Struthio camelus: one gene and its partners. The protein of the gene in region 1 purifies or fractionates together with the protein of each later gene. This does not show direct contact. Links are inferred from orthologs where the notes say so. Each region holds a gene or a part of one and is shown in the gene's direction. Other genes may lie near its edges.

What was found.
Region 2: the proteins of POLR2H (region 1) and POLR3K purify together in Homo sapiens (affinity purification with mass spectrometry; 3 studies listed by BioGRID and IntAct, with this or other methods). This does not show direct contact. The link is inferred for Struthio camelus from reciprocal best matches to the Homo sapiens genes POLR2H and POLR3K.
Region 3: the proteins of POLR2H (region 1) and RPAP2 purify together in Homo sapiens (affinity purification with mass spectrometry; 3 studies listed by BioGRID and IntAct, with this or other methods). This does not show direct contact. The link is inferred for Struthio camelus from reciprocal best matches to the Homo sapiens genes POLR2H and RPAP2.
Region 4: the proteins of POLR2H (region 1) and POLR1E purify together in Homo sapiens (affinity purification with mass spectrometry; 3 studies listed by BioGRID and IntAct, with this or other methods). This does not show direct contact. The link is inferred for Struthio camelus from reciprocal best matches to the Homo sapiens genes POLR2H and POLR1E.

The regions. Positions count from the first base shown.
Region 1 is NC_090950.1:22,750,640-22,758,609, reverse strand, and holds the start of POLR2H (DNA-directed RNA polymerases I, II, and III subunit RPABC3), read left to right. Parts: upstream 1-4,962; 5' UTR 4,963-5,058; coding exon 5,059-5,131; intron 5,132-5,828; coding exon 5,829-5,912; intron 5,913-6,996; coding exon 6,997-7,090; intron 7,091-7,295; coding exon 7,296-7,379; intron 7,380-7,498; coding exon 7,499-7,616; 3' UTR 7,617-7,970. UniProt on the Homo sapiens protein: DNA-dependent RNA polymerase catalyzes the transcription of DNA into RNA using the four ribonucleoside triphosphates as substrates.
Region 2 is NC_090956.1:19,331,367-19,336,698, forward strand, and holds POLR3K (DNA-directed RNA polymerase III subunit RPC10), read left to right. Parts: upstream 1-4,253; 5' UTR 4,254-4,274; coding exon 4,275-4,385; intron 4,386-4,467; coding exon 4,468-4,555; intron 4,556-4,640; coding exon 4,641-4,768; 3' UTR 4,769-4,820; downstream 4,821-5,332. Other genes in the region: RHBDF1 (inactive rhomboid protein 1), read left to right, coding at 1-15; SNRNP25 (U11/U12 small nuclear ribonucleoprotein 25 kDa protein), read right to left, coding at 2,125-2,179, 3,241-3,315, 3,427-3,532, 3,935-4,025, 4,121-4,234. UniProt on the Homo sapiens protein: Core component of RNA polymerase III (Pol III) which synthesizes small non-coding RNAs using the four ribonucleoside triphosphates as substrates. Can mediate Pol I proofreading of the nascent RNA transcript.
Region 3 is NC_090949.1:18,833,478-18,841,444, reverse strand, and holds the start of RPAP2 (putative RNA polymerase II subunit B1 CTD phosphatase RPAP2), read left to right. Parts: upstream 1-4,948; 5' UTR 4,949-4,988; coding exon 4,989-5,049; intron 5,050-6,227; coding exon 6,228-6,273; intron 6,274-7,967. Other genes in the region: GLMN (glomulin), read right to left, coding at 563-671, 1,493-1,612, 2,547-2,672, 3,158-3,223.
Region 4 is NC_090982.1:2,270,324-2,277,954, forward strand, and holds the start of POLR1E (DNA-directed RNA polymerase I subunit RPA49), read left to right. Parts: upstream 1-4,614; 5' UTR 4,615-4,673; coding exon 4,674-4,734; intron 4,735-4,889; coding exon 4,890-4,993; intron 4,994-7,042; coding exon 7,043-7,119; intron 7,120-7,631. Other genes in the region: ZBTB5 (zinc finger and BTB domain-containing protein 5), read right to left, coding at 3,737-3,753. UniProt on the Homo sapiens protein: Component of RNA polymerase I (Pol I), a DNA-dependent RNA polymerase which synthesizes ribosomal RNA precursors using the four ribonucleoside triphosphates as substrates.

The DNA.
Region 1 (7,970 bases):
CCCATCCCCGCCCCGCGCCCTGCCTGCCCCTCGCTGCCTCAGTTTCCCCGGCCGGGGGGGCCCTGCGGGGCCCTGCTCCCCCCGGCGCGCAGGTGCCCGCCAGGCGCCCGCCAGCCGCCCGGCCTCTCCCTGCCCGGTTGTTTGCTCCCCAACGGCGGCTTCGCGGCTCCTTTGTGCCGGCAGATAACACGGGCCGCCGAGGCCTCTGAAGCGCCGGCCCGAGCCGCGGGGAGGGCTCTGCCTGCCAGCGCCCAAGGAAGGCCAACCGGAGGGTCTCAGGGGGCCCCCCGCCCGGGCACGGGTGGGCGTGGGTGGCGGGGGGGGCAGTTTTCCCGGCCCCCCGCGCCGTGCCGCCCAACTTTCCCGCGCCAGAGCATCCTTCGCGTCAGAGCTGCCCCGGCCCCCCGCCGCCGAGCCCCCGAGGCTTGGCGGCGCCCCCAGACGGGTCCCCCCCATTGCTGTCCCCCTTCTTGGCGAGGGCTGCTGGAGACAGCTTGCTGAATTAGTTACGTTCAACCCCAAAACGCTCCTCTCCCCCCCCGCCCCCCCGCCGCAACCGGATGGAGGGCCTGGCTGCGTTTCAAAGGCGCGCTTGTGTTGTATAATTTATCGGCTGCAGATAACAGGCGAGCAGCTAACGAGCGGAGGGGGCTCCGGGCCCCCCGGGCTCCCGAGGGAGCCTGGCACCGCGGGCACCGGGCTGCCAGCCACCACGCCGGCCCGCGACGGGCCGGGCCACCGGCAGCCGGAGGGGGGTTACCCCCCGCCGATGGGTCCCCTCCGGTGCCGGGGTGTTTGGGGGTGCCCCAAGGTGGGGGGAGAGCCGGTGCCCATCTGTGCCCTGCTTTGGGGGCACCGGCGGGGTGCTTCCCCCCCTCCCCGCCACACTCCCACCCCAGCCGCCCTCGCAGCGGGGTTTGCTTAATCCCAGACAAGGGGGAGACACCAGGCACCGGGCTGGCAAGCGGGTGCTCCCGCGCCGCGCTCCTGCCCCCCTGGCAAACCCCGCCGGCGCAGCGGCACCGTGTGCCGGGGGCAGCGAGGGCGGCCTGGGCCCGGAGGGGCGCCGGGGCCGGGGCGCCGGGGCCGAGCCGGGTCAGCGGGGCGCCCCGGGCAGAGCACGGAAACACCAGCCTGCGCCGTGTTTCCCACCACCTCGGCCTTACACTGACATCTGCCGGCACCAAGCCCGGGCCTGGCGCCGGAGCCCCCCCAGCGCGGCCGGAGCCCCCCCAGAGCGGCGCTGCCCGTGGCCCCGCAGCCCACGCGGCCCCCCGCGGCTCCCCGACGGCCACCTGCGGCACGGCGCGCGGGTGCCCACCGCGCTGGCACGGGGTCAGCGAGGCGGCCGGCACCCGCGGAGGGCCAGGAGCCCCGAGCCGGATGCCGGGGTGCCTGTGCCAACACCCCCCCCGGTCCCCCCCCCACCCCACCGGCGGCCTCAAGCAGGGGGGCAAGGGCAGGTTTGATTTACAGCTCTGGGCACCGGCCAAGCCAGGGAGGGCTTGGCAGGAGGCGGCTGCGGTCCCCGGGGGGGCGAGGGGCTGCGCCAGGTCCCCGCTGCCGCCCCGGCACCGCGGCATCTGGGGGGCACCCGGAAAGCTGGCGCCATCCTCCCCTCGCCAGCTGGCCTCCGCGGGCGGCTTGGCGCCTGGCTGGCCCCGCTGCCCCACCAGCGCACGAGCCGGGCCAGGCCCACCTTCGCCCCGCGCCGCAGCTCCCCTCGGATGTACCCTCGTCCCGCTAGGGCAGGGAAGCAGCCGGAGCTGGCAGCGGGGCCCAGGCGTCCGGGCTGCCGTCCCTCTGCCTCCGCTCCCCGGCATCCTGCCTGCCTCCAGCTGGCGGAGGTCGTGGGCAGCAGCGTCCCTCGGGCGCCTGCTTTGCCAGCTGGCAAACACAGCCCACGCCGCCTGTCCTGAGCCCTGCCGACCTGCACCGAATGTGCCAGGTCTCAGCGATGGGCGGACAGGGGCAGCTGGGTGCAATAAACCCGGGGTGAACCCTGTCCCCTCCTGTCACCTCGCAGTGGGCCCAACCCAAGAGCACCCAAAGGGGGGGGACACAGCCATGCCCCTGTCCTCGCCTAGCAGGCACCCCCGAGCACGGGGAGCATCCCAGCGCCACACCAGGCCCCCTCCCCAAAAAACACAGCCCTGGCACAGCCGTGAGTACCGTGCCAGCCTGCCTGGGCGGGCTGGGGCACAGCAACGTCGCTGCCAGCCCCCCGGACGGCACCCTTGCCATGCTGGGGGGCACGGCGGGGCAGACTGGGAGCGCGGGGCGGCAGGGGGGTGGCGGGGGGAGGAGACCCGGCCGCTGAGACGATGATTTGAAGGAACGGAGATTGGAGGTGACGTCGCAGTGCGTTAAGCCGAGCGGCTGTTCCCGCGCTCGGCAGCACCGCCGCGGGGCGACCCCGCCGTGAACCGCCCGGCTGCCCCCCCGATCGGCCGCCGGCCCCCGCGCGCCAGCGTACGCCGCTGCCGCGCCGTCCCCACCTGCGTGCCCGCAGTGCCGTCGCCGGGTCCGGCCCCCCGCTGCGCCGCAGACGGCCGGCTCCGGGCACGGGGCACGCGCCAGAGAGGCCAGACCCAGCCAGCCCGGCCGGGGTGCCAGAGGTGTCTCCGCTCCAGACATCACAGCACCCATGCGGAGACACCTCAGCTCCGGATAGCACCCGGGGCCGTGCCCTGGAGACATCCCCGCTCCAGGCAACATGGGCTATGTACCAACTCAGCTCCAGACACCGTGGGTCACGTGCCAGAAACGTCTCGGCTCCAAGCACCGTGCGCCGTGTGCTGGAGATGTCTCGGCTCCAAGCACCATGGTCAAGCCCTGGAGATGCCTTGGCTCCAAACACCGAGTGCCATGCTCCAGAGATGCCTTGGCTCCAAACACCACATGCCATGTGCTGGAGACATCTCGGCTCCAGACACTATGGGCCACGCTCTGGAGACGTCTCACCTCCAGACACCATGGCCAAGCACTGGAGATGTCTCGTCTCCGGACACCACGGGCCATGCTCTGGAGAGACCTCTCTCCAGCCGCCTTAGCCGTGCGCTGGAGATCCACAGTGCCCAGGCCGGCTGGTGACATGTGCTCCACACACGGCACCATGCCGCCTTCCCTTCCAGCGTCCCCACACCAGGGGGACGCCTGGCCCAGACACCAAGCCCCCATCTCCCGACCCGCGGAGGGGCACCGCTGTGCCGCACAGCACCGCTCGGTGCCACCTCCAGCCTGGCACCCGCTCCCCAAACTTCGGCAAAGCCCCAGCATGGGGCCACGGGGTGGCATGGGCTGGCACGAGTCTCGGCCGAGCCGGGGAAGAATAGGTTAAAGCCAGGCGGCACGTGGCATTTGGGGGCCGGGGGGGGGGGGGGGGACAGGGCCGACCCCGCGTGTGCGCCAGCGCGGCTGAACTTTCGACCCAGCGTTCGCGGCTCCCTGAGCAGACGCCAGGCGCTTGGGCACCCCGCGGCGCCCCGAGGCGCGAAATCCCGCGCGGCGCTGTCAGACTCCCGCTCTCCTCCTTCTCCTCCTCCTCCTGCCGTTCCGGTTCATCTGCAGGCCACCGGGTGACAGCCGTTGGCCCTGTCCTCACCCCCGGCCCCCACCCGACGTCTAGCGCCGCCGCGCCAGCTGGGACCGCGGCCCCGGTGCCACCGCCAGCCCCACGGCACCCATGCCTGGTGGCCCACGGGGGGCCGGAGCACGGCGGGTCACACACCCTGGTTAGATGGTGGCCCCTGGTGTGGCGGCAGCGCCTGCAGGGGGCAAGAGGCCACCCTGTCCTGCCTGCCTGCCTGGCACCACGGTGGCACCGCTTGCCGTGGCGGGGGGGGCAGCCTCGGCAGCGTCCCGAGCCTCCCGCCCGCTCCGTGCCCGGCCCCTCGCCGTGGCCAGCCGAGTCCGCCAAACTCATGACACCAGTGGCCGCCGCTGGCCCGGCGGCACGTGCGGGGCCCAGGGCAAACGCCTCCTCGCGACGCCGCCGCGGTGGGGAGGGGGATCGGGGCGGCGAGCCCGCTGCGGGGCCCCCCGGCCCCGGCGCCGCTCGCTCGGGGCGGCGGCGGCGTGCGCGGCCCCGGCCGCTGCCATCCGCGGCCTCGCAGCTCCCCCTGCCGGCATCCGGCTGGCTGCGCCAGCCCCCCCCCCCCCAAAGGGGTCTAGGCCCCCCCAAAAGGGGGTCGGCTCCCGTGCCTGCCCCCCACCCTGCCCGGCTCCTGCGCCAGTCTCGGGGTGGGCAGCAACGCGCCAGGGAGCTTGTCCCGGGGCCCCCCCGAGGCCGGCAGCCAGCACCCCCCCCCGGCAATGCACCCCCCCACCCACTGCAACGCACCTCCCCATTGCAATGCGCCCCCCCCTTGTAATGCAACCCCCATTGCAAGGTACCCCGCATGGCAAAGCACCCCCCATTGCAATCCACTCCCTGCTGCAATGCACCCCCAACCACTGCAGTGCGCTCCCCTCGTCACAGTGCCCCCACCTCGCTGCAATGCACCCCTCTCTTTGCACTGTCCTCCTTTGCCATGCACCCCCAATTGCAAGGCACCCCCTAACTGCAGTGCACCCCAGTTGTAATGCCACCGCAATTGCAACGCACTCCCAACCGCAATGCACCCTCAACTGCAATACTCCCAGTTGTAATGTACCCCAAATTGCAATGCACCCCCGAGTTGCAAGGTACCCCCCTAATTGCAATACCCCCTAATTGCAACGCACTCCCAACTGCAGTGCCCCCTTTCCGCCTGCCCCAGCCGGGGGCCCAGTCGGCGGAGGTGCCCAGCGTAACGCCGGGCCGTTGAGGGGCTGCGGGGCCCGCGGGGTGCTCGGCGCTGCACACGGCCGGGGAGCGCGGAGCGGCGGGGTGTGTGTGTGGGGGGGGGGTCCCTGAAGAGCCCGAGGGGGGCCCCCAGAGACCGCGGGAGGGGCGCTAGGACCGCGTGGACACCCGCGGCCGGCCGGGCCCGCCAGTGCGCAGGCGCCAGCGCCGCCCCGCCCCCTTCCCGAGGCTACTTCCGGCCTGCTGCCGCGCGCGGCGGAGGCGGCGGCGCCATGGCCGGGATCCTCTTTGAGGACATCTTCGACGTGAAGGACATCGACCCCGAGGGCAAGAAGTTCGACCGCGGTGAGCGGGGCTCCGCGCCCGGGCCGCCGCCGCCGGCCCTCCGGGGAACCTTCTCGAAGGCGCCCGGCATGGCCGCCGCCGCCGCCTCCCTGGCCGTGCGCCTGCCGCCGCCCCCCCGCTGTGCCTCGTCTCCCCCTCCCCAGCCTCGGACTGCTCCCCCTGCGGGTCCCCCTGCTCCCCCTTCGGGCCCCGTTGTCCCCTCGGCCCCCCCCGCCCACCTGTCCCGTTTCCCTCCTCCAGCCCAGGACTGCTCCCTCAGTGTGCTACATCTGCTTCCCCTTCCCCCTCCGCAGCCCGAGGCTGCTCTCCTCAGTGTGCCCCCATCTCACACAAACACCTAGCTTGCGACTGCCCCATCTCCTTTTCTGCCCTTCCCACCCAAGGCGCGTTGTCCGCCCTTCACCCCGGTGTGCCCTGGGCCCTCACCCCCAGCCTGGGACTGCCCCCTTCCTCCCCGACACCGTGGGCTGCTCTACCTCCTGGTGTGCTCCATCTACATGCACACAGCCTCATCTCCCATTCCTCTTCCTACACACACCTGTGTCTGCCCCAGGCTCTTGGACCAGCCCCAAGCCCTGTGCTCCCACAAATAGCTCATGCTTGGTTGGTGGGAGGATGGCGCAGTCTTGGGACCCTTCACCCACCCAGCCTGTGCGGTCTTTTGTGTCCTTGCTCCTGACTCTGCTGCTCTCCACAGTGTCCCGCCTGCACTGTGAGAGCGAGTCCTTCAAGATGGACCTCATCCTGGACGTGAACATCCAGATCTACCCTGTGGACCTCGGTGAGCTCTCGGGCTGCTAGCACAGAATGCGCCGGGAGTGAGCTGGTGTCGGCCCGGGGTGGGGGAAGGCACGCACTGGTGCACAGAGGAGCAAGGTTGATCTCAGGCTTTCCTAGACCCCTCTGCTGTCCCCAGATCAGAGAAGGTGAGTGGTGCTGGGCACTTTTGCTCTGCTGGCGTGACCTGGATTCTGTCTCACCTCACTATGATATTCATTTGGGTTCTGTTGTGCCCTGTTCCCCATATACGCTCTGCGGTGAAATTGCATCGGTTGCTAGGGACTAAGCCTTAAAGAGAACTTCTGAGATGAGTTCCTGTGGTTGAAGACAGAGTCTTGCCATAGTGAGGAAGGCTGGAGTTAGTGCTATAGGGTCTCAGGTACTTGTCCAGAGCTCAGCCTCACCCTCTGGGACACTGTATGGAGATCTGTTGTTACGTCCAGTGAAAATGTCATCTGTGGTACCCTTGTGGCTCTGGTCTCCTCCGTGGTGGTGATGCACGACTGGGGAACTGGAGGAGACAAAGGGCCTGGTATGATCTTTCCTCGCTCCCCACAATCCTCTTGGAGGCCTGAACACAGGGGTGGGGCTTGTGCCAAACCCTCTGGAGCAGTCCTTTGCCTTTACCTACTCAGATCTGCTATAGATGTCCCAAAAGCCAGGCTGAAAGGTCACAAGGAACCTGGAACCAGTCTCAGATGGAGAGAGGGGGGAAATGGGGGAGGGATCATGCTGAGCTCTTCTCACTGCCTGGGAGGGTGCTGCTTGGCATCTCTCACTCTGGGCCTCGTGGAGGGCAGGCCCTTGTGCTGTTGCACGTTGAGATGTGTGTTCCTGGTGTCGAGAGCGGTGCCCTTGGGTGAACAATGGAGGATCTCATGAGAAGTGCTCTGTGCCCAGCTCCCATACTCCAGCTCGTGCCTGCTGTATGGAGCTGGGACTGGCTTGCTCACCTGTATGTGGCCTGCATCATGTGGTACTTGCAATGAGTAGCTTGTGGCACTGCCAGCTTTGCCCCATGAGCCTGATGCTGATCTGGCTGCGCCCACCCACGTTCTCACGGCTCCTGTGCCCTCTTATCCCAGGAGACAAATTCCGCCTGGTCATTGCCAGCACCTTGTACGAAGACGGCACCCTGGATGACGGGGAGTATAACCCCACAGACGATAGACCTTCCAGGTACCAGGGATCCAGTTGGCGTGGGTGGGTGGCACAAGCTGTGCCTGCTGGGATCCACAGAGCAGCCAGGTGGTGGCGAGGAAAGAGCTTAAATGCCGAGAGGCTGTGTGGTACCTTCTCCCAAAGGGTGCTTGGATGGGGGATGCCAGGAAAAGGGAAGTATGCAGCTTTGATTCTTCTCTGAGCTCCCGTTGTCCCATTGCAGGGCAGACCAGTTTGAGTACGTGATGTACGGCAAGGTGTACAGGATCGAAGGGGATGAAACGTCCACAGAGGCAGCCACACGCCTGTGAGTGTCTGTCCCCAGAGGGGGAGCAGTGCCCCAGGGTAGTAGGGGAGGCACAGGGATGTCAGACAGGATCTCCTGTGGGTTTCCCCCGTCTCACTAATCCTCTCCTCCTGCCCCAGCTCTGCCTACGTGTCCTATGGGGGGCTGCTCATGCGGCTGCAGGGAGATGCAAACAATCTGCATGGGTTTGAAGTGGACTCCAGGGTTTACCTGCTGATGAAGAAGCTGGCCTTCTAGAGGAGGATACATCTATCTTGCCTCCATGGACTGTCCCAGAGACATTTTGCTGGCAAGTAAACAGGATGCCTGTGACCCTGCATCCATGCTCCCTGGCCTCTCTGGTGCTGGTGGAGGAGGGGGATGGTCCCCCCTTGTCTTTTCTGACTCTTGCCAGGATTTGCAACCCCCTTCTACGCGGAGAGAGGTGCCTGACAGCCAAGCAGGGGCCATGCCGGGTGCTCTGCAGTCCTGTCAGGTGGTAGTCTCTTCTGACCTCCTGTCTTTCTGTACTTCAAAATCAGGCTCAGCCCCAGCCCTAGTCAGGGGCAGCTGGACTGAGACAGCCACCTGTCTGCATTGGGGCTGGGAACC
Region 2 (5,332 bases), on another chromosome or scaffold:
GCACAGCTCCACTGAAAGGCAAAGACTTGTTTCTCGAGCAGGCACTGGAGATGGACTGTCTTTGCATTTGCTGTGTTGGTTCCGTATGGACAGAGCCTCTAATCCAAATGACACTTCTAACCCTGCCCGTGGTTAATTTAAACTGTCTCCTTAGCACTTGGCAGGCATGTTTTGCCTTATCTCAGAAGACTCTGAAAACAGAATGTTTGTGCCTTGTTCAATTGTATTGAACCTTTTCTGCTGCCATTATTTTTATTACACTAGTTTCAATACTACATTTTTAACTAGAGTTGTTTACTACTGCTAAGGTGGTGATTAAATGGAAAGGTAGCGTTTTAGCTACTGTTAATTGTTCTGCGTAGTCTGTGGCTACATTTGTTACTTTCTCCTCTATGCTGTTTCCTGCCCCTGTAGGGTAGGTAAGTCCTTTTCTAGCACTCCAACCATAGCCAGACATGGGTTTGCAGGTGGAAATGAAATAAGGGCCATAAAGGCTTCAGAAAACCACATCGTCTCTTTAATCCCTGAAAAGGGACACAGCATACAGCTCCGAGGCAGATGTTTCAAACAGCAACTGCAGAAGCTGTGGCATCTGAGAGTTTCCATTCGACTCTGAGTCTGTTTCCATTTGAAATGCTACAACCTTTTCCTCTAGGAAGGTGCTGAATCCACAGAATGGTCTTGGTACAGCTGGATTATCTGCTTTTATCTGTTAAACAAAGAAAAGGTGTGACAGGGACAATAGTTACTGTGGTAATACAAGAGTCCAGCATGCAATACCTGGCCTAGGCTGTCCATGGGGATCAGCTACTGCCACAGGTGACCCACCAGTGGTCGTAGGCACCTCGAGGCAGATAGATAGAGCTCCTCTGTCAGGGCACACGTTTTCTTATGGTGGATACCGTGAGGATGGCAGCATTGAAAGAGGGGGGAAAAAAAAAGCCACTGTGGTGGCAAAATAACATTTTCTAACCCAGCCAGTTAAGAGTTACAAAACAAAATGAACAAACAGGCATTTGGAAAAGCTGATGATACCACTGCTTTTCAGAGTTTTAGATGTGTTTTTAGATGGGGGGAATAGGGAAGCTGACACAAGTTTAAACTTACTAAGCTTGAGAATCTTGGCCACACCATGCATTTATGTGTACATAACTTTTTTTTTAAAAAATGGCAGCCTCATACTGGAATCATGAGGTCCACATGGGTTACAAGGAGATAAATATACATGTATAATGTTTCCTGTGTTGGAAGCATTTTTAAATGCATCAGTTGCACAAAAATACCATGAACGAAAGTTTTCTAGCAGCATGCCCGGCTTCGCAGGACAATGAATCAGCTGAATTCAAGTCTCTGTAAACTAGAAAATGGAGAAACTGAGAACGTAAACACAGGACATGAGCTGACGTCTCTCTTTTCTCTAGCTTGCAGGAAAAGGGCTCAAAATACATCCTCTGTGGAACAGTGGAGAACATGCTATGTTTGCTGTTGCATTTACTTATGTACACCCAATGGACGTTTCTGTTAACTGCAGGTGCTCTGCATGGTACAGGAAGGAGCTAGGAGCAGAGCGGGAGAAAGTTGCTCTGCTCTGTCTGGAGATAGTCTGAGACACAAAGAAGGATCAAATGAGCTGGGTGATGGCAATCACCTGTAGGCACAGAGAGCCCTTCTTTCTCCTAGGGATTAGTTAGCAGCCTGCCGCATTCCTGACAGTGAGCTCCAGAAATGATGAAGCCTAAAAGAAAGCAGCATCCTAGAAGCAGTCGTAAGGGCAAAGGAGCACTGCATTTAATGAGTCCCAGGATGTTGTGGGAGCAGATTCAGAATCCAAATGCAAGACAAGGTTAGAGATAAGCCATTGTCAGCACTAAGATACACCATTTCAGGAGCAGCAGCAATGCTATAAAGACACTGCGTTAGCATCCATGGCACAGGCTACAAAACCAAAATGTGGAAATGGACTAGAGCCAGGCTGTGTGCCTAATGCAGATATGGGCATTTAGGAATGCTCTGCTAAGCAGTGGAGAGCAGCAATATCAGCTGCTACAAGCATTAGCACTAGCCCTGGGAAAAGGAGGATGCTCTGGTAGCTCTTAATGGATTTTTCAGGACTTACCTGACAAGTTACTTTCGAAGTTTCTTTATGAAGCTGACCTCATCGCGGTTTCTAATGCCATACCTGAACAGAGAGTGATGCTGTTACATGCTAATTCCCCAGGAACCACCACCTTTGACGGACATCCTATTAGCCTCCTCTTTCCCCTGGGGAGATGGACTCATACTTTCAGGTGCTGTGCTTTAATGCAGGACAAAGTCGAATTCTCACCTGCGTGAGTAGAACATCCTGCCAGGACTCCAAGATGTGATCATCTACCTTTTAAACTGCAACACAGCCCAAGCGTAACAGCTATCACCCACAGATCGATCTTTCAGGGACAGCTTTCCTTACCTACGGCTGTCTTTCTAGGGCTTTTTCCTGCTTGCTAAATTTGTTTATATTACTTGAGACAGCTCCTGCTCCTCACCACCACCCCCAAAAGGGGTGTTGGACTAGATCACTCCACATCAACACATGCTGTGATTCCACGACTCCAAACACTCCACCTGATTGATTGCCTCCTTCAGACCACCTTGGATGCCCTCCCCCACGTGATGTGATGTGACCTGTCCCCATCCTCCCTTTGGTAGCTGCTCTCCGTGCGCTTCCATTAACACACACACACCAGTTCCCCAGACACGAATGGATGTGGTCCTCTGAACTAATGTGCATCAGGCGCGTGACACCAGCCTTTCTTTGCCTTCTCCGCCTGCTACTTGCCTTACCTCTCAGCCATACTTTTTTCGTGTTGTCTCTGCAGGGTACCTAAGGTGAGAACTGAGCAAACATGACCTATTCTGCCTTAGTTTTGGCATGGACACCAAAGGGTGATACGGGGGGGGCCAGATGTGGTGCGAACGGGATGCTCTCAGCGCAGGACAAGCTGTGGCTGGGGAACGAGCCCAGGCGGCCTCTCGGCCAGTCGGTCAGCGGCGGAGCGGTTGCATCGCCTGAAATGCCAGCCCTGCCTCGCAGTGATTTTTTTTTTTTATTTTGGGGGGGGGGTGGTGCAGAACCTAAGTGAGCCAGAGCAGAGCAGCCCAGACTGATCCCTGCCTGTGCAGCTGCTTTGCGGGCTACCCGGACAGCTTGACTCCAGCTCGTCCCCATCCCTCCCCAGCAAACCGCAGACGCCCGCTCACTCTCTCAGCTTCTTCCTGTCGTCTGCCAGCTTTTCTCCAGCGTAGGTTAAGTGGTATGTCCTCCATATGTACTTCCTGGGGAGGGAAAACGCTCAGGGCGGGCGGCAGGAGGAACTGCCCGCCTTGGAAAGGCCACCGAGGTGGGGTTTTGGGGGGGGGGGGTCCTCCGGCCCGCGCCCCGCTCACCAGCTGAGGTGCTGGGCGCCGCCCTGCCGCGCCTGCCGCAGCTGCACGTGCCGCCGCAGCGCCTTCTTCAGCTCCAGCACCGAGGCGTTCTGCACCACCACCACGGCTGCGGGGGCCGGGGGGGACCGGGGGCGGCTCAGCGGGGCCTGTCCGCTCCCCCCGCCCCGGCCCCGGCCCGGCCCCCCCCACCCCGCTCCCCCGGCCCCCCCAACCTCCCCCGGCCCCCCCAACCCCCCCAACCCCCCCCACCCCGGCCCCCAACCTCCCCCCGCCCCGCCCCGGCCCCCCCAACCCCCCCCACCCCGGCCCCCAACCTCCCCCCGCCCCGGCCCCGGCCCAGCCCCCCCCAACCTCCCCCGGCCCCCCGGCCCGGCCCCCCCAACCTCCCCCGGCCCCCCCAACCCCCCCAACCCCCACCCCGCCCCCCAACCTCCCTCGGCCTCGCCCCCGGCCCGGCCCCCCCCAACCCCCCCCGGCCCCCCGGCCCGGCCCCCCCCCCGGTACGCACGCATGGTTTCGCCGTCCGCCTTGCAGACGCGCACGGTCATGGCCTGCCCGTACTCGAGCGCCACCTGCGAGCCGATCTCCTCCGGCGTCACCTGCGGGCGGCACCGCCGCGACACGGGAGCGACGCGCCCCGTGGGCCGCGCCGCCCCCCCCGCCCGGGCCCCGCCCCGGCCGCCGCGGGCCCCACCTGAGGCGGCAGGTCGCAGAGCAGCGGGTCCTGCACCAGCCGCGCCAGCGCCGCCTGGAAGAGCTCCAGCACCTCGGCGTGCGCCAGCTCCTCCTCGGGCTCCGCCGCCGCCATCGCCGCGCCGGAAGGGGCGGGCGGCGCCACGGAAGCGGCGATGCTGCTCTTCTGCCCGGCCTGCGGCAACGTCCTGGTGGCCGAGGAGGGGCCGCGGTGCCACCGCTTCGCCTGCACCACCTGCCCCTACGTGCGCAACGTAACGCGCAAGGTGCCGCGGGGGGGCGGGCCGGGCGGCGGGGGGGGGCGGGGGGGCGGGAGGCCGGGGCCCCGCTGACCGGCCGCGCCCGCAGGTGACGAGCAGGAAGTACCCGCAGCTGAAGGAGGTGGACGACGTGCTGGGCGGCGCGGCGGCCTGGGAGAACGTGGACTCCACCGCCGGTAGGGCCGGGCCGCGGGGCTGGGAGGGCGGCGGCGGCGGCGAGGGGCCCGCTCGGACTCACCTGGCGCCCGCCTGGCCCCGCAGAGCCGTGCCCCAAGTGCGAGCACCCCCGCGCCTACTTCATGCAGATCCAGACGCGCTCGGCCGACGAGCCCATGACCACCTTCTACAAGTGCTGCAACGCGCAGTGCGGCCACCGCTGGCGGGACTGAGCCGGGCCCCCCCCGGCCCCGGCCCCGGCCCCGGGCCCCCCCCCGGGCCCCGGGCCCAGGCCGGCGCCCGCGGCCCCGCGGCGGGAACACCAGGCCGGCCGCGCCGAGGCCTGCGCGGGGCGGCCGCGCTCTCCTGCAATAAAGCTGCCCGTGGATGGGAACAGCGTGGTCGTCGTGTGGTGGTGGTCGAAAAGCTGTCGTTCGGCCCTGGGCCACCAGTGCCGCGCGTCTCGGAAAAGGACCTTCAGAGGCCCCGACGTGACGTTCTCTGTGGGTGGGTGGTGGGGTGGGCAGGGGGGTTGGGACAGGACGGGCCCATGAGGCCCTCCTTGCTCCAAATCACCGTGGTTCTGCTATAAACGCACTCACTGAAATGAATGCTCTGCCTGGGTTGTGCTTACCATGCAACACATATTTAAAGCATTGCTTAAAATACTTAACGGAGAAGTCTAGGTAAAGGTTAAAAGCAGGGATCTTTCTTACAAGTAATAGTCATCAAACAGCAGCCTGGGTCTGTCTGGTGGGTGATAGAACAGAGGCCATAGCAAAGGTGAAGGAGGTCGC
Region 3 (7,967 bases), on another chromosome or scaffold:
TAAAATTAGACTTCAGCTTGACAAAAGACGATTGTTTTGATCTCACATATCAAGAGAGAAACCACTACTTGTTACCTACTAGTAGGCAACCATTTTTATTATTTTTTTCATGTAAATCAGAAGAATGCAATTTCTCAAATAAATATTCCAACCTACTTAAACTAGAAATAACAGTTTTATACCAGAAAAACACAAAAATATGGAATTGTATGTTTTAAAAGTTAAATAATAAAGAATTCCACAAATCAGTATAATTTTTGATTTCTGTAACAAGAATATGAATAAGTTTTAATTCTGTAAATATTGTTGGTGCCATAACACCAACAACTTACAAATGATGAAAAATAGCTGAATACTGATTTTCAACTGATGCTACCACTTCTCTCTAATACCTTTTTATAACAAGCCAACACAAGCATGGAAATTATACCTTGTGGTATTTTACAGTAAAGCCTGTCAGGATAGAAGTGTTCTGAAACTATTTGAGTAAAGGCTAAAATAATTCAATAAATTAACAAGAAAAGTATTTAGCTCAACAATCACGCAATAAACTGAACGTTACCTGTCTGCAAAGGTTGAAGTAACAACATGACAGTTTGGCATACTTGCTCTCCAGAGGTCTGCTCAATCTGCTCAAGTAAACCCAAAAAAAGTTCCTTTGGATTACATAGCTGCAAGAGAAGAACGATGCATATTTTTTAATCATCACGGTCATGAGCTAAAAACCCCACCACGAGCACTGTGACAGAGAATCTCTTGTACATCAAATAAAGCAAATCTAAGCATCCAAAATAATTCTTAAGAAAAGCAAATATGAAGCAGTAAGTACTTGCTAATGTTTTCTGTAGAACGTATATGTGTATACACTGTCATACAAGCTGAAAACACAGCAAATATAATTGCACTAAACTCAATTCCTATAGTCTCTAAACACCTTACAGTACCTTAGCAAAGAACCGTTCCTTAGCAGTATAGATTAAAAAATAAAAAAAAGAACCTTCAATGTGAATGTAATTCAAGCAATAGAATTGGCAAGCTGTTTTCTAAGTAGCTGAGTGAAAGGAAACTGGTTTCCTACAGATTAAGGCTTATTTCCCTTCTACACCAGAACCATCAGATAATCACTGCCATACCTCCTATTTCTGCATTAGACAAGAAGTAGTATTTCCAAGGCTGGGGCTATCGCGGTGCCGACTGTAGCAGCAGGACGCCAAAAAAAAACCTTCTAATAGATGAGCTGCCTTTTCCTTCACAGTAGTGCTATAGCTCTTTGTTTTGCCTGGTTACTAATTTCATGAAATTTTTAAGAGGTTTATTTCTGAGAACACTATCCCGGTGCCTAATTCAGATGAAATTCAGGCCTATGAGTCAAAAAGTTATGGGGAACAAGCAAAAGAACCCAGAGTTACTCATGCCTTGTTTTCTTTGGAAATCAGCTTAAAAAAAAAAAAAAGTGTTACTGTATTAAAAACTATGTATTTCAAAAGCATACCTGTACCAACTGATCCAGTATCTTCAGGCAGTGTTCCCTCTTATCATCTTCCTGTTTATACACTAAAATACATCTAACTAGAGGACAAATGAGATTCCAACCCATATTCTTGATGATAACCTGCAAGCCAGATTTTCAGAGAATAAATCAAAACTGGACATCTTCTAAATATAGAAGACTGTACATACAATGATCAAAAATGAGAACAGATCAATGCCTTGGTTCTAACCAACAGCAGATAATACCATTGAAAGCTTAGTATCTATTATAACAGGCTTCTGTGCTTGACATACTTTGTATTCTTTCCCCATATCTGGCAACACAGCTGCATATTCCGTATAGTTTTCTTCAGTGTATTAATCCTAACATGTCGTTATACGTTTCCAGATATTTATATGATAAAACGTTTCAAATAGGAGATTTTTTGCTGGTTTTTGAATAGACAAATCAAGGAAAGAAAATTTAAAGAAATTATTGTTGGACAATATTTTGTCCACGGGAAAACCCATTCTTTGAAGACCTTCAGTTGCTACTGAAGATGATCACAGAGATCATAATCAGACTCGAGCAATATTGCCAAAACATTCCATCCCTCCCTTCCTTTCAGACTTCCTCTTTATCTATATTCAACGTAAGTACGTTCTCCCAGCCCCTCAAAGCGCATACACACAATTTCTCTTCCATTAGCATCAGCTTAGCTGTTTGCTCTTACGGTTTTGGCCAATGCTGTTATAGCCATCTGAAATTCTCTCTCCTGCCACAGAGGGCCACTGTCACTTTCTGTTCGTTATGAGGTTGGCCTCTCTTCTCCCTTCTGCTTAACTCACAGGAAAACAGCTGTTAATAGCTTTGTTAAGATTACTGTGACTTGAGTACACAAGTCATAGTAACTCAAATTACACTAGAATGTGCACTTCACACAGACCAACTGATTAACTATTCATATGTGCACCCTTACTCCATAGTGAAAGTAGCTTTCCCACCTCATATGCAGCTTTAACTATTAATGGTGTGTTTAGCACACAGCTAAGACGTAACATAAATCTAAACTTACCTTATTTTTCTCATTTTGAACTACTTCTAATAACTGAGCTGCATATCCATCTTCTAAACACTTCTGGCCTGCTACCTGAAACAGATTAAAATCTTCTCCCCTGAAATCAGCTTCTTCCAGAATTTGCTAGAAAGAAAATACGCATGTTTGACTCTGTATTTTATAAAAGACAAAAAATAAGCAAACCCAAGCTTTCATTGCAAAGTCAAATGGAATGTCTTTTCTTGCATATCATCTTTTATATACTAAAAATAATTACTGAGAGCCACTACAGAAGAGAAAGCAGTATTTCAATAGTATTTTCCAAGTCTAGACAACAGCATGTTACTTGGGAGATGCATTTTCTGCAACAATCTGCTAGCGTTTTGTTCCTTCACACAGCTACTGCTGAGTGAAACAAGAACATATCTTCCTCCAAGAGGCAGAAGTTACCAAGCATCTTGGGATAAGCACCAAAGAGAAGGCAATGAAGCATGAAGGCTAAACCTAGCTGCCCAATGAGGAGTTCTGCTAACAACCGTCCTGCTTTTAGGGTCATTTTGCTTTTAATTACAGTGTATAAAGACAAACTTACTCTGCTTTCGCCTACAACTGTTATGAAAAGTACTTACGCATCTCTGTATTATGGCTTGAAGTTCATCAACTGCCATTATAGTTTGACTTTGTTCTTCTGGCATTTAAAATTTCTGTAATAAATTAAAAAGAGTGCAATACTAAACCACCCAAAGTAAAAACAGAGGTTGAAAAATAATCACATTGTCAAAAGAACGCTGAATAGAGAAATGAGAAGACTCAAGACAAACATATTACGAAGACTGAATTATAGAAAGATAGGAGAAAAGCATCTTTAAGGAGTGTATGCTATATTATTCTACCTCCTGTACTTGCAGGAGATACTATTTTAGACAGGAAGCAGCCTACATTGCGTACAGGGGAGTAATTTTTCAAATGTTATCAGAGGTATCTTAAAAATTTGTCAGCAGGCTTTGGCTACTACATGAACACCTACATTGAGAACTGCAACTACTGCAGAGCAAGTCTGGACTTGCTGCGTACCAGGTGCGGATGTCCCCGCTACGCTACATTTGCTCTGAATATGCTAATCAGATGAGCTCTCTGCTTAGATCTGACTAGAAGGCTCTAATTAGATGATGCCTGGGATGTGCATAGCTGATCCAACCACCGTGCCAGTTTATATCAACACCGTTTTAGTCTCATAAAGATTACATGTGCAGTATCATTTACTTCTTTCTACTGCTGGTTCAGTGGCCTTTTACCTCTAGACACTACAACTGCTGTTGCTGAAAGCAGTTAAGTTAAACATTTGAGTAAAATTAAGTGCATATCAAGTTCTACCTGGTCAGGGCCATGACTTACAAATAAAGTCAAGTTCAGTTTTCTCACGTGATATATCATAGCGGTAGTCACATTCTTTCTTTATGCTTTACGTTAATTCCACGTGCATAAATATGGTTACATAACCACTGTGACTGTATGCACAAGTCACTTGCCTCTGCCCTTGAGTGAACAGCTAACTCTCACGAAAATATCCAAGCTCCGTATCTATACGGCCATCTCCATGTACGGTTCTCCATCTTTCCCCTTAAGTTTGACCTTAGCTAACGCAATACCTACGCATCTAAGCTATTCAGATATTTACAAAAATCAGTCAACTCACTATAACCTATAAAGCACCCGTATGTGAATTTTATTACTGAAAGAATAAATAACTTACTTTCTGTTCTAAATTGCCTATTTTAACATTTCTACTTCACTCCAATGTAGCAATGCATCGGGCCTGTCATTTTAATTTTGTGATTATCATACACTTTGTTAGCATTCACTGCACTACTTCAGCTCTTAATTTTACAGGATCTTACTAATTCCCCCCAAACAATGTAAAGATACTTTTGAACGTTAATAGCCCTGCATTTTCAGCCCTCAGTAACTTTATAATGCATTGACAGCCTTGAGGCATGCCCTGAGCTGCCAGGGATTTGCCAGCTGAGCCCAGAGCCAGTTCAGGTCTTAACACTTAATCCACTTCCGAATTAAGTCTTTTCAGTGGTTTCAGTAGCCAACGACACCTGAATCACGAAGAACTGTCCGCTACCAATTCTCAAGCGAACTGCCCCCTCACTGGTAACATCCAGTTGTTTTCAGCCCCTTCCCTCGCTGGGCGACGGCACGCAGGCCAACGCGAGGCGGCTGCCGCCCGCGCCCGCCAGGCTGAACGAAACGCGCACCACGCCGCCGCCCGCTCACCTCAGCCGCGGCCGCCGGGCTGCGGCCCCTCCGCGCCGCCACCGCCACCGCCTCCCGCCGCTCCGGCCCGGCCCGGCCCGGCCCGCCCGGCCGCCGCCGCCGCCTCTCCCCGCTCGCGGCCGCGGCCCGGCTCCGCCTCCCGGTCAGAGGTCAGAGGGAGGGAGCGCGGCGGCAGCGATGATGGCGGCCGCGAAGCCGCAGGGCGTCGCGAAGGGGAAAGCGAGCCGGCGGCGCGCAGGTAGGCTCCGCGTGCCGCCCCTCTCCCCCCCCCGTGCGGCGCCGTGGGCTCTCCCTGTGCCCTGAGGCCGCTCCGGCGGAATGACCCAACTCGCGGCACAGGAGGAGAGGAGGCCTGCGGGTTCCCGGGGTCTCTGCTGTTGCCTGTGCGGCGACAACGGTTGGAACACCTCCCGGCGCGGCTCCCGCCCTTCCGGCGGTGCCCGCGGGGCTGGAGGGGGCTCTAGAGGTTGCCGTGAGCTCGGTGGGGCTGGGGAGGGGCGGGCAGCGGTGCGGCGCCGCCGCCGCCGCCGCCTCCTCCTGGGGCTGCGGGCCCCGCTTCTGCCGCGGTGGGCGGCGCCGGCGCCGGGCGTCAAACGCGCCGCATTTCACAGCTGATCAAAGCCCCTGAAAATACACGTGTGAAGCTTATCAGTCTGTTTTGTTTCCGCCCTGCTGCTCCGTGTTTGCCTGGACAGTATTGACTGCCCAGAAAGTACTGAAAATGGCTTCATGTTTTTAAAAAAAAAAAAAGTGGCGTATGCACGAAGGAGATGGGCGGTGGCAGGGAGGACGGGGCTCCGGCGGGGGGACGCCGCGTCTCCTCTTAAGTGCGGGAGACGTCAGGTGTGTTGGCACGGAGGGGCTGCCTGGGCGGGCGCAGGAGAGCGGGGTTGGCGCAGGCAGAGCCCCGCTGCGTCGGCGGTGCCGTGCCGGAGGCCGCGGCCTGTCGCCGGGCGGGGGGCCGGGCGGGGGGCCTGCGTGGCCGAAGGCAGCCCCTGCCCGCGGCCAGAGTGAGGGGAGGGTGAAAAAAGGGTATCGCTTCCCAGCGGTGTGGCCGCAGGGGGAGAGCTGCGTTTCTCAGCTCAGACAGAAGCCGTTTTCCTCTCGCTTGCTCGTTATGCAGAGCCTGTCACACGAGAGAACAGCGTTAGGCCTGTCTGTCCGCTCGCGTACAAAGATTGCGTCTAACTAGTTGCTGAGTGGATTACCAGCTTACGGTAGCTAGGCGCAGCCACCAAAAACCAAGCGCCTAAGCAACTGCCTTGATTATGGTTACAGTTTGGAGTTTGTAATGTTTTCCTGGATCGAACTATTTGCACGGTGGCTGAGCATGGAAACATGACAGTTCCGTTTGTTCACGGCTTAAAATGCATTTTAAAGGAAGAAGGTATACTGATTTATCTATTTGATTTCTAGGAAATAAGCATTCAGCTGCTCTGAAGAATGAAGATGCTGCTCAGAGGTACGATTTCTAACTAGTAGTACATAGCGATCTCATTGTTTTGCTTCATTTTGATTATATTCTCCATTTCACTTTTTTCTTTTTCTTTCTCAAAATACCATAGCTAACTTAAGGAAATAAGCCAGTATACAGATCATGCTAACCTGTTTTCAATGATGCTGCATAACTTTTAACTACATACCTTAATATAGAGATACCTCATTCAAACACTTACAAGATAAAACACCACTTCCCTACTTAAAGCACTAGACAAGGTAGTGAGTGATAGTAGCTGTAGAGGGTGGTATTATCATTTTTTTCCCCTTGAAACCCTTTGATTTATTCCTTCTTTTCTTTTGTACCCTCACGCTCAGTCTTGTCCTAGTCCTTTTTCTTTCCTGTACTTGACGCCTCTCCTGTCAATCCATAGATGTTTGTCCCAGGCTTTTGGTCCAGCCCGTTCTGGGCTTCCCCTCCTTTTAAGAAGAGTCAGGTTTTATAGTTGGCTTTTTTAAAAGTAATACTTCTGGTAAAGTAATAATAGCTGACTTAAGTCAAAAGACATTGTTGTTGGATTTCAGACTGTACTGCTAATAATTAGATTTCTATCTTATTTTCTCAACTCTTTATCTAAATCTTGAAACACTGATTTCGGAGTGTCTTAACTCTTTAAGATCCTACTTGAGAAACCAGTTCCTATCCTCTCTGGGGGATTCTCAAATGACCCTTGGAAAAACAGATACATCTCTTCCATCTCTTATTGAGCATTTGCTGAACATGAACCCGGTATTCTTTAGAATGATTATAGCCAACTTTTGAGTCCAGAGCTGTATATTAAATCTTAACAGGGCTAAAAGCTGCAGGACAGATATTATGTGCTGTACAGGTGTGGGGGAGGAGCTGACATCTTCTTGTTGGATGAGCATGTAGCTGGCTCACACAATGACTCAGAAATGTCAGCCTGAGCAACTTGGTCTGGTTTGCCCCTTCCAAGTGCCAGAGATTTGGTTTACATAGCGTTTATTACCCATCTGAATGGCAGACTTGAACTGCGCACTAACTTCATGCGGATCTTAAGTCTCAGATTTGTCATCCTAGACTTGATAGTACTTAGGCCAAGCTCCAGGAGAATAGCTTGACCAGAAAGAAAAATGAAACGTGTTTAACCTCCAGTCTTTTCAGAAATGAAGATTAAATGGTTGTCCTTGTTTTACCTATGGGCTCATACCTTCTTCCTTTAACCTGGGTGGGACAGCATGTCACCTGTTCCAGAGCAGGAAACAAGTGGCTACATGAGCAGTAAATGCTGCCCAAAACGTTCAGAATCTTAGTGCCGATGCAAGTGGCAGGAGAGGGGTTTTTTTCTGGTGAGAGGAAGAACTACAAAGGGAAATCTCTGTTCTGTCACTTGGGCTGCTGGTGTTTAATCACCGTAGTTCAGAGCAGGAGAATAAAATTCAGCAAAGACCAAAATCCGGGTATATCAAGAAAATGTAATACATAGTGGAGTCTCATTGCAGCCACCTGGAAGGATATAATGGAACGTATGACCAATGAGTGCAAGCAAAACTGCAGTTCTTGTGGCAGAACGTGTAATTCCATTGTATAGTTAGACTCTTACATGCTTATGTAGTAAAAAGCGTACCCCTGCCTTTTGAGTTCTTACACTTTTGAGCCTCCTCTGTTGGGAGAACTGGTTTGGGGTGATAGAGTAG
Region 4 (7,631 bases), on another chromosome or scaffold:
GCATATTATGGAGATCCCTAAGGGACTAAGGGATTCAGGTTTTATTGGCACTGGTATTAATGAAATAGTATTTCTAATACCTTTAACACAAAGAAAACAAGAAAATTATTACTGCTTCTTGAATGAATGGTATTGATAATACTAGGTAGATGTACAGTCCGCTCTTCCCATCAAATCTTTCAGCTCTAAAGTTTAAGCTGCAGCAAGATGGGACAAACGTAGATACTTAACAAGCACATTCGCACGAAACCACTGCAGAATCAAAAACTTTTCTTTCACTTATTAAAAAAAAAAAAAGCACTTAGCATAACACACTGTAAAGTCTGTGAAAATAACAACTTTGAGTAAAGATCTATTTAATGTTGTTACTGTATCCAGCATTAAAGGACACAGTTCAGATTAAAGACTGTAGTTCTGACTCACATTCAAGATACTAGTTCAAACAGAAAGCAAACACAAGTTCCCTCTGAAAAAAAACTTGAAAGTTTAAAGGAAAGAGGGTGCGGAAAAAAAGTTGAAGTCTCAGCTTCCCCTGACATTTTCAGCAAGCTGTATCCCTTCAAAGCCTGCAGTTATACGTGTTCTCTGCTGTAAGGATTTTTTCAGACTGAATCTAAAGTGGAACTTCAGTTACTGGTAGTTAAAATTAGGTAGTACAATTAGTTGTATAGGGTTTGCCCTATACAACTAAAAGCTTAAGGCATGACAGTAGACTCTAGCACTACATTGCTCGTAGATGCTGGCTACAATTTTGTGAGTGCCAGACAAAAAAGGCATTTTATTTTGTGCCTGACAAGATACAGAAAAGTATCAGTAACTAGTGACTTCACTGACTGACAGCTGATTTTACAGTACTATATTTGAGGTGTCCATTTAGCCAGGCTTTATGTATAGTTCAGCTACTCACAGCTCATGCATTACAACTTGTCTAAGAATCAGCAGGGATAAACCGCTTTGCAAAAGCTGCTGATGGTTGCACCAGCCCTCCAGAGAGGAGTAAGAGATTACCACATGACCTAGTATTTTCTCATCATCTGAAAGGTACTGTAAATGCATGCTACGACCTACAGCAAGACCAGTTTGTAACTTGTACAATCATTAGTAAACAGTAACAGCACAGCCTGTCAGCTGCAAAGAGCATCTTTAAAAGGAACAATACAAAGTTTCCTAAAAGAAATTAGATTTTCTTAGATTTTCTTTTCTCGGTTATCTGAAGCAACTGACTCCACCTGTGAGGGCAAGATGCATGCCCATCCACCTGTGTTCCTTGTATTGTGGCTCACCTAATCTCAGCCCTATCATGCATCTCTCAGACTCTAAATCCTGCAGCAGAGCACCGTACTTGAAAGCAAAGATACACACTGAGAAGCATCATACTCCTGCATTTTGATATGCCATTCCAGCTTAAGACACCTAGGAGGTTGTTTCTGTGTATTACTGTGTGAGACAGAGTAGCCGTCTACTTAAATGCTATCGCTATTTGATGTATTTACAAAGGGAAAAGCAGGGAAGACTGCCACACAGAACTGGCAAAGCCAGTTAATAGCACAGAACTATAAACACCTACCAGCGAGAATCAACCTGAACTTATGGTTACCCTGTCACCATTTTAGAAAGCCTTACTTCTGGTTCACGATATTGTGACCCTGGTACTGGTCATTTGTCCTGCGGAAGAACGCCCAACATTGAAAAGAAAATTCAGTTGCCAGCTTTTCCTGTCTAAGAGTCATTCCCCGTTCATGAATCCAACCACAAATACTAGACAGAGCCAAAGGGCTGCACGCAGGAGTCCAAAAGGAAAGACCAGCCGCACACAGCTCTAATGCCTGCTTGCTCAATAGGGAATTAAATTCTAAATCTCGGTTTTCAAAGTCACTGTACTGGAAGTTTCAGGATTTTACACAATTCCTGTCCAGTCACCTTCCTTGGCGATTCCGAAGGTGTCTTTCCTAACCTTTTAAATAACCACTTGGATGAAACTAGGGTTAATTCAACTCTTTATTGAAGAGATCTGTTTTTGCTAGAAAATGGTTTAGGTCAGAGTAACAAACACTAGTAAAGCCACCTCCACAAAGGCTGCATTAGTTTTATGCATATGTTTAACTTCAGCAAATAATTATCCACATAAATGCTTCAACAGATCAATATTCCATTCCAAATAGGAACTCTCAAGAGTATTTGCTTCTGATCTCCCCAAGCTCATTCTGAAAACTTAACAATATCATTTTATACTGCTCAGAAGAGAAAATTCCTATGTTACACAATCTCTACACACACCTATTATACAATTCTGTATATTTTACTGTGTACTAAGGAAAAGTTTAAAAAAAGTTCTTTATCACTGTTTGAAAGTCACACAAGAACGTAACTATTCAAGTTATTCAGATGTATGACAAATAAACTAAATTCTTTCCGAATAACCTTTAAAGGAAGGGAAGAAACCAAGTAGTTTTTTGTCCGAGCAAAGACGGTACATTTCTTGCCTGTTTTCACAGAGATCAGCCTACCTCTCCCTTTGCTGTAAACCGATATGTTATAAAGCAAAGTGCAACAGCAGCAGCATGGTTACCAGCTTGACCCTAGCAGAAAGTGTCTTCGTTCATGTGAACGTGAGAAAACTTGTCATGTAACCACACCAACCCACAGAGATAATACATGCAGTAATAAGAAACAATTAGTTGGTACAAAACATCTGTACGCCAGCAGTACATGTAACATCTCTCCATTTGCGTGCTACCCTCCACAACATGGACCTGTTATGAATAATCTGACAAATATACCAAGCACCAGAAAAAAAATCCTGCTTTCTAACCTGTCAAGTAAAGACATTTTTCTTTTAAAACTCCAAAATACTAAAGTACCTGCAGAGAAGAACTACTAAATGCTTCTGCAGTCTTTCCTGAGTGTTCTGAGAGGCATTGCACTGAAGGATCAAGTTAGGGCATCACCTGGAGCATCTAAGTTTTGAGTCTCTCTCTTAAGACTCAAGGTTGCTTCTGCACTTCATCCTTGCAATATTAATAGCTAAAAATACATCCATCTATTAAGATTATATCTTATACAACTATCCCCATGCACAAAACAAAACAAAAAAAAAACAGTACCTCATGCATAGGAACGTGTTTTTGTATAGGATGTCCTGCTCAGAATCAAATAATTTCAAGAATCCTGAAGCAGAGGCGAGATGTCAGCTTCATTTCACTAGATTCTGTTAACTGGTAAATGGTGTGCCTGAATTCTGCGCTCTTTGACTTTGCGCTTGCAAGATGACTAGTATCTTGAAAGTGACATGCTTGCATAAGCCTACAAAAACTTTGACTCCAACAAAAGGAAACCCGTGAACAGTACCAGAACTGCAAACAGAGCCTCCACTGACCCATAAGAACTACGTGACCCCCTTCAGTTACTTCTCAACACAAACAGGTCACGCTCCCGAGTACCTGACAAAGAGTTTATAGGCGGCGCTCGCCACTCCAGCTGCCCCGGCCGCGCGGGCGGAGCTCTGCCCGGCCAGCCTCTCACTCACACCTCGCTGCAGGCACCGCGACGCCTCGCTGCACGGCACCCCGTTGCTATTTTTTCCCCCGGTGCGTTCAGGGCCACCTCGCCACGCTCTGAGAGCCGCGCGGGGGCTGTGAAGCAGCGGCAGCCTTTGGAACACGACCACGGACACAGAGAAGCGCGATGGCTTCTCCCTCTTCGCCCCCCACGCACAAACCAAGCCCTGAAGACAAACCTCCGAGACGCCAGCATCTTCCCGGCGCCCCCGAGCCGCTAGGCCCCGTCGCAACGGAGCGAGAGGGGACAAAGCGGGAGCGGCTGCGCCCCCCCGGGAGGGGCCGGGCGCCCGGCGCGGCGCAGCCCCCTCCCCTCCCCTCCCCTCCGCCGGCGCCCAGGGCCGGGCATGCGCAGTGGACACCGCCCCCCGCGCTAATGTAGCGCACACGTCACCCGCCGCCGCCGCCCCGCCACGCGCGCCCGCTGCCCCCGGCCGGCCGGCCGGCCCCCTCGCGCTCACCTGTGTTCCCCTCCCCACCCGTCGCTCTTCGTCGCCGGGCGGGAAGGGCCGGAGCGGGGGGGGAGGGGGGTCGGCGGAGAGCGGGAGGGGCCGGGAACGCTCGTTGTCCGCGGCCCTGCTTACCCTGCCTCCTCCCCCCACAAGCCCCTACTCTCTAGCGGCCGCGCCGCCAGCCGGAAGTGACGCCATAGGGCTGCAGCCCACTCAGCAGGGAAAGGGCGGGGCATGCAGAGGAGCACGCTCGCACCCACAAGGAGACGAGCCGGCCAGCCAACCACAGGGCCGACAGCCTCCTTCTAGCCAATCAGCGACCTCGTTACTGACAAATAATCAGGTCCCCCGAGACTTGCAAATAAACTGGCCCCTGATTGGGCCGCTTCTGCTTCCGCCGAGCCCTCGGCGGGAGCGGCCCGCGCCCCTTCCCGGCCCAGCCGGCGTGTGCAGCCGCCGGCCCGGCCCGGCCGTAGGCCCCGAGCAGTGGGTTGGCCCGCGGCGGGGCTAAGGGGGTGATGCTGAGCGGGGGAACGGCTCGCAGGGGGCGGCCCGCTCGGCCGGGCGGGCGGTTCCTCCCGCGCGGTCCCGCCCGCCCTGGCCGGAGGCGGAGCCCCCCCGCCCCGCCCCCGCCGCAGCACGCTGCCGCTGCCGCCGCCGCGCCATGGCCGCCGCCACCTGGCGATACCGTGGGGATCCCGAGGCTGAGCAGCCCGCGCTGCTAGGTGAGGTGGGCCTGGAGCAAGTGGGGGTGGGGGGGGAAAGGGGGCCCGGCCCGGCCCGGCGCGAGGCTTCTTCCGCGGCAGGGTGGGGAGCGGCCCTAGGCGGGCGGCTGTTGGTGGCCCCGTGCCTCACGCCAGTCCCCCGGTCCGCCCCGCAGTCCAGTTCTCCAACGGGAGGCTGCGGGAGGCCGACGACATGCGCTTCACCGTGTACCGGGATAGAGACAGCGCCAACCCCCGGAAGAGGCACCGGAGGATCCTGGTAAGTGCTGCGGCCGCATCCCGGGTCACCCTTTTTTAACTAGCGCCTGGCCTTTGTAAGCTTTGGCGGTTTTGCCCAGAGGAGTCGCCGGGAAAATTTGGAAACATACGTGTTTCTGTATATGTACGTTTTTAAACTTACTGTTGTAACAACTATAGTTCTAAAAATTACCCACTTAATACATTTTAGCTTCTATATAATAACTTACATGTTAGCAGCAATGAGTTGTGTATCAGAAGAGTCCCCAAACTGCCTCCTTCTGCATCCAAGCTCCTGTTCAGCTGTTAGGGATCAGGGTGAGATTCCACCTGACACCTGGCCTAGGAAGCATAAGTAATCCCATCTCTGCATATTTTGAGGTTTGGGTATATTTTTTACACCATTTTCCTCAAGGCTCTGGTGCTGACAGCTTCCACAAATAAGAACTAGAAACCCTGGTAAGATAAAAAGTGTTGTCTAATATTTAAGGCACCTCTCTCCCTCTCTTCAAAGCATTTCTTGGTTTCCTATTTGCTTTTGCAAATACAAATACAGTGAATGAGCCTCTGAAAATCAGTAAGGACTTTATTTTGTAGACTCTTTTAAAAGTGATCAGATTTTGAGCCCTTCCTTCCAATTTTTCCAAAAAATCTCTATGTCCTGATATATTTTAGGGATTTCTGGGCAGTTCTAGTTCTGATATTGGCTCCCATTGTAGTAGAGAGAGGAGTGATGGTGGTGGAGGTAGGGTAGAGCAAAGTTTAATGTGCAAGATAGCTCTGCTTGAGGGTGAGAAGGGGATAGATACTTGTTTTCTTACTGTGAAGTTCTGGTGAGTGAAGTTCCCAGCAAACGCAGTTTATAGTTTCTCTAACAAGCCACAAGATGTCAACAGTACTGCAGGGAGGTAGTACCAAATATTGGTATGCTGCCAAGGTCTCAAAGCATTAACTGTCCTCTTTTGAGCATTTCAGGATGAGACAAGTGAATGAAACAAGCCTCGTGCTCTTTCAAACATAGCATTATTGGGCTGTGACTTTTGGAATGGAAAGGAACCTGAAACACACAGTATAGTATATTATACTGATAGTGACAAATGAGAGTTAGTAACCTTTCAGTCAAAACTGAATACCTGCTTAATTAAATAGTTTTGATTGATACACAGTGGTGTATTCTGAAGCTCATGCTGATATACTGATGTTGCATGTGCTTGATTTACTCTAGTAACCCAGCTAATAAAAGAAGTAATGCGTGAAAATTAAAAGCTGCTACTTAAAAGATAACCAGGTCCATGCAAGTACAAAGTCTGCACATTGTTTCCTGGTTTCGTTGTGTTTACACAATGAATCCAAATTCTTTGCCAAAGTCTTTTTTTGATTAGATTACATTTTAAGGAATTTTTTCTTTCTTTCATTGAAGAGAAAGCAGAGTTCCAGGTCAGAAGGTGCTTTTGACTGCTCTTGTGACGTTTTACAGCTGTTTACATGCATGGCTCACTCAAGGAATATGTGGTGGTTTTCAGCCCAAATCCTCAGGAGAAGGATTTCATACAGTAGAGGCACAGGCGTTTAAAATGTATTTAGGTGCTACCTCATAGTGCTTGCTCTTTATCAGTCAGTTACGGTCACCTGGCAACATTAAATCTTTAAATGGCTCATTCACAGTTACACGGAAACTTTTGGCCATTGCTTCTGGATTGAAGCATGGTTGTCAACCCAGCCAAGTATTTTAATTGTTGTGACGTGTGGGTTTGTTACCGCCATGAACTATTAATTTAAAGTATGAGTCTCATGATTTCCTTTTAATGATTCTTTGTCTTCTGGCTGCTTGATAGAACAAGTAGGCCAAGAAAGAACAAGTACTTGCAGCTTCAGAAGTGTCTTTCTTTTAAAGACTTTGACCTGATGCAAAATGCTCCCAAAGAAGACAAAATGCACTTTATCTACACATGACTAGCATCTGATGCCTGGGAATGCAGAGCTTTGTGGTACTTGGGAAAATAAAATGGATATAGAGGTTAGTCGCAGACAGATGGCCGCCCGTTAAGGTAATTTTTCCTGTGTTTTTCAGGTCTCGGAAACTGAAAGGCTTTCATATGTGGGGAATAACTTTGGCAGTGGAGTTATGAAATGTAATTCCCTATGCAGGTATGGGCTGCGGGCAAACCTGTGGCAGGGACCTGGTGGCGGAATCTTGCCTTGTGTTGGCGTACCCATCTTGTCTTGCCTTTGGGCATACCCAAAGGTGCTGCTTTTTTTTCTCTCCTTTTAGTGTCTGTTTCTGCTTCTACTAACTACAGAAACCTGAAACGTGTATTATGCATGTTGGATCCATAGTCCCAAGTGCTCTGCTCCACAGATCTGCTCCAGTTGTTTTATCCTGTTTGCTGATGTAGCCGGTATCTCTCCTGTAGTGTGACTGCACTGACCTGGTCATGTCTTATTAGTTAAAGAACGGGTGCGGAGAGAGAGTGAAGAGCAAACAGTTGTGTAAAACTGTCAGCAGCAGGAGGTGCTTTCAGACTTCAGTGTCCTGGTGCTCTTAGGTTCTGAGTAATTCTTTTAAAAGCAGTTAGGCTTACTTCTGTAAACAGCCTTTCAAGAGATGCTGATCCCTGTGTCTTTGTTTTTCTCTGAGAAGTGAAGCCGTGAAAGCTGGG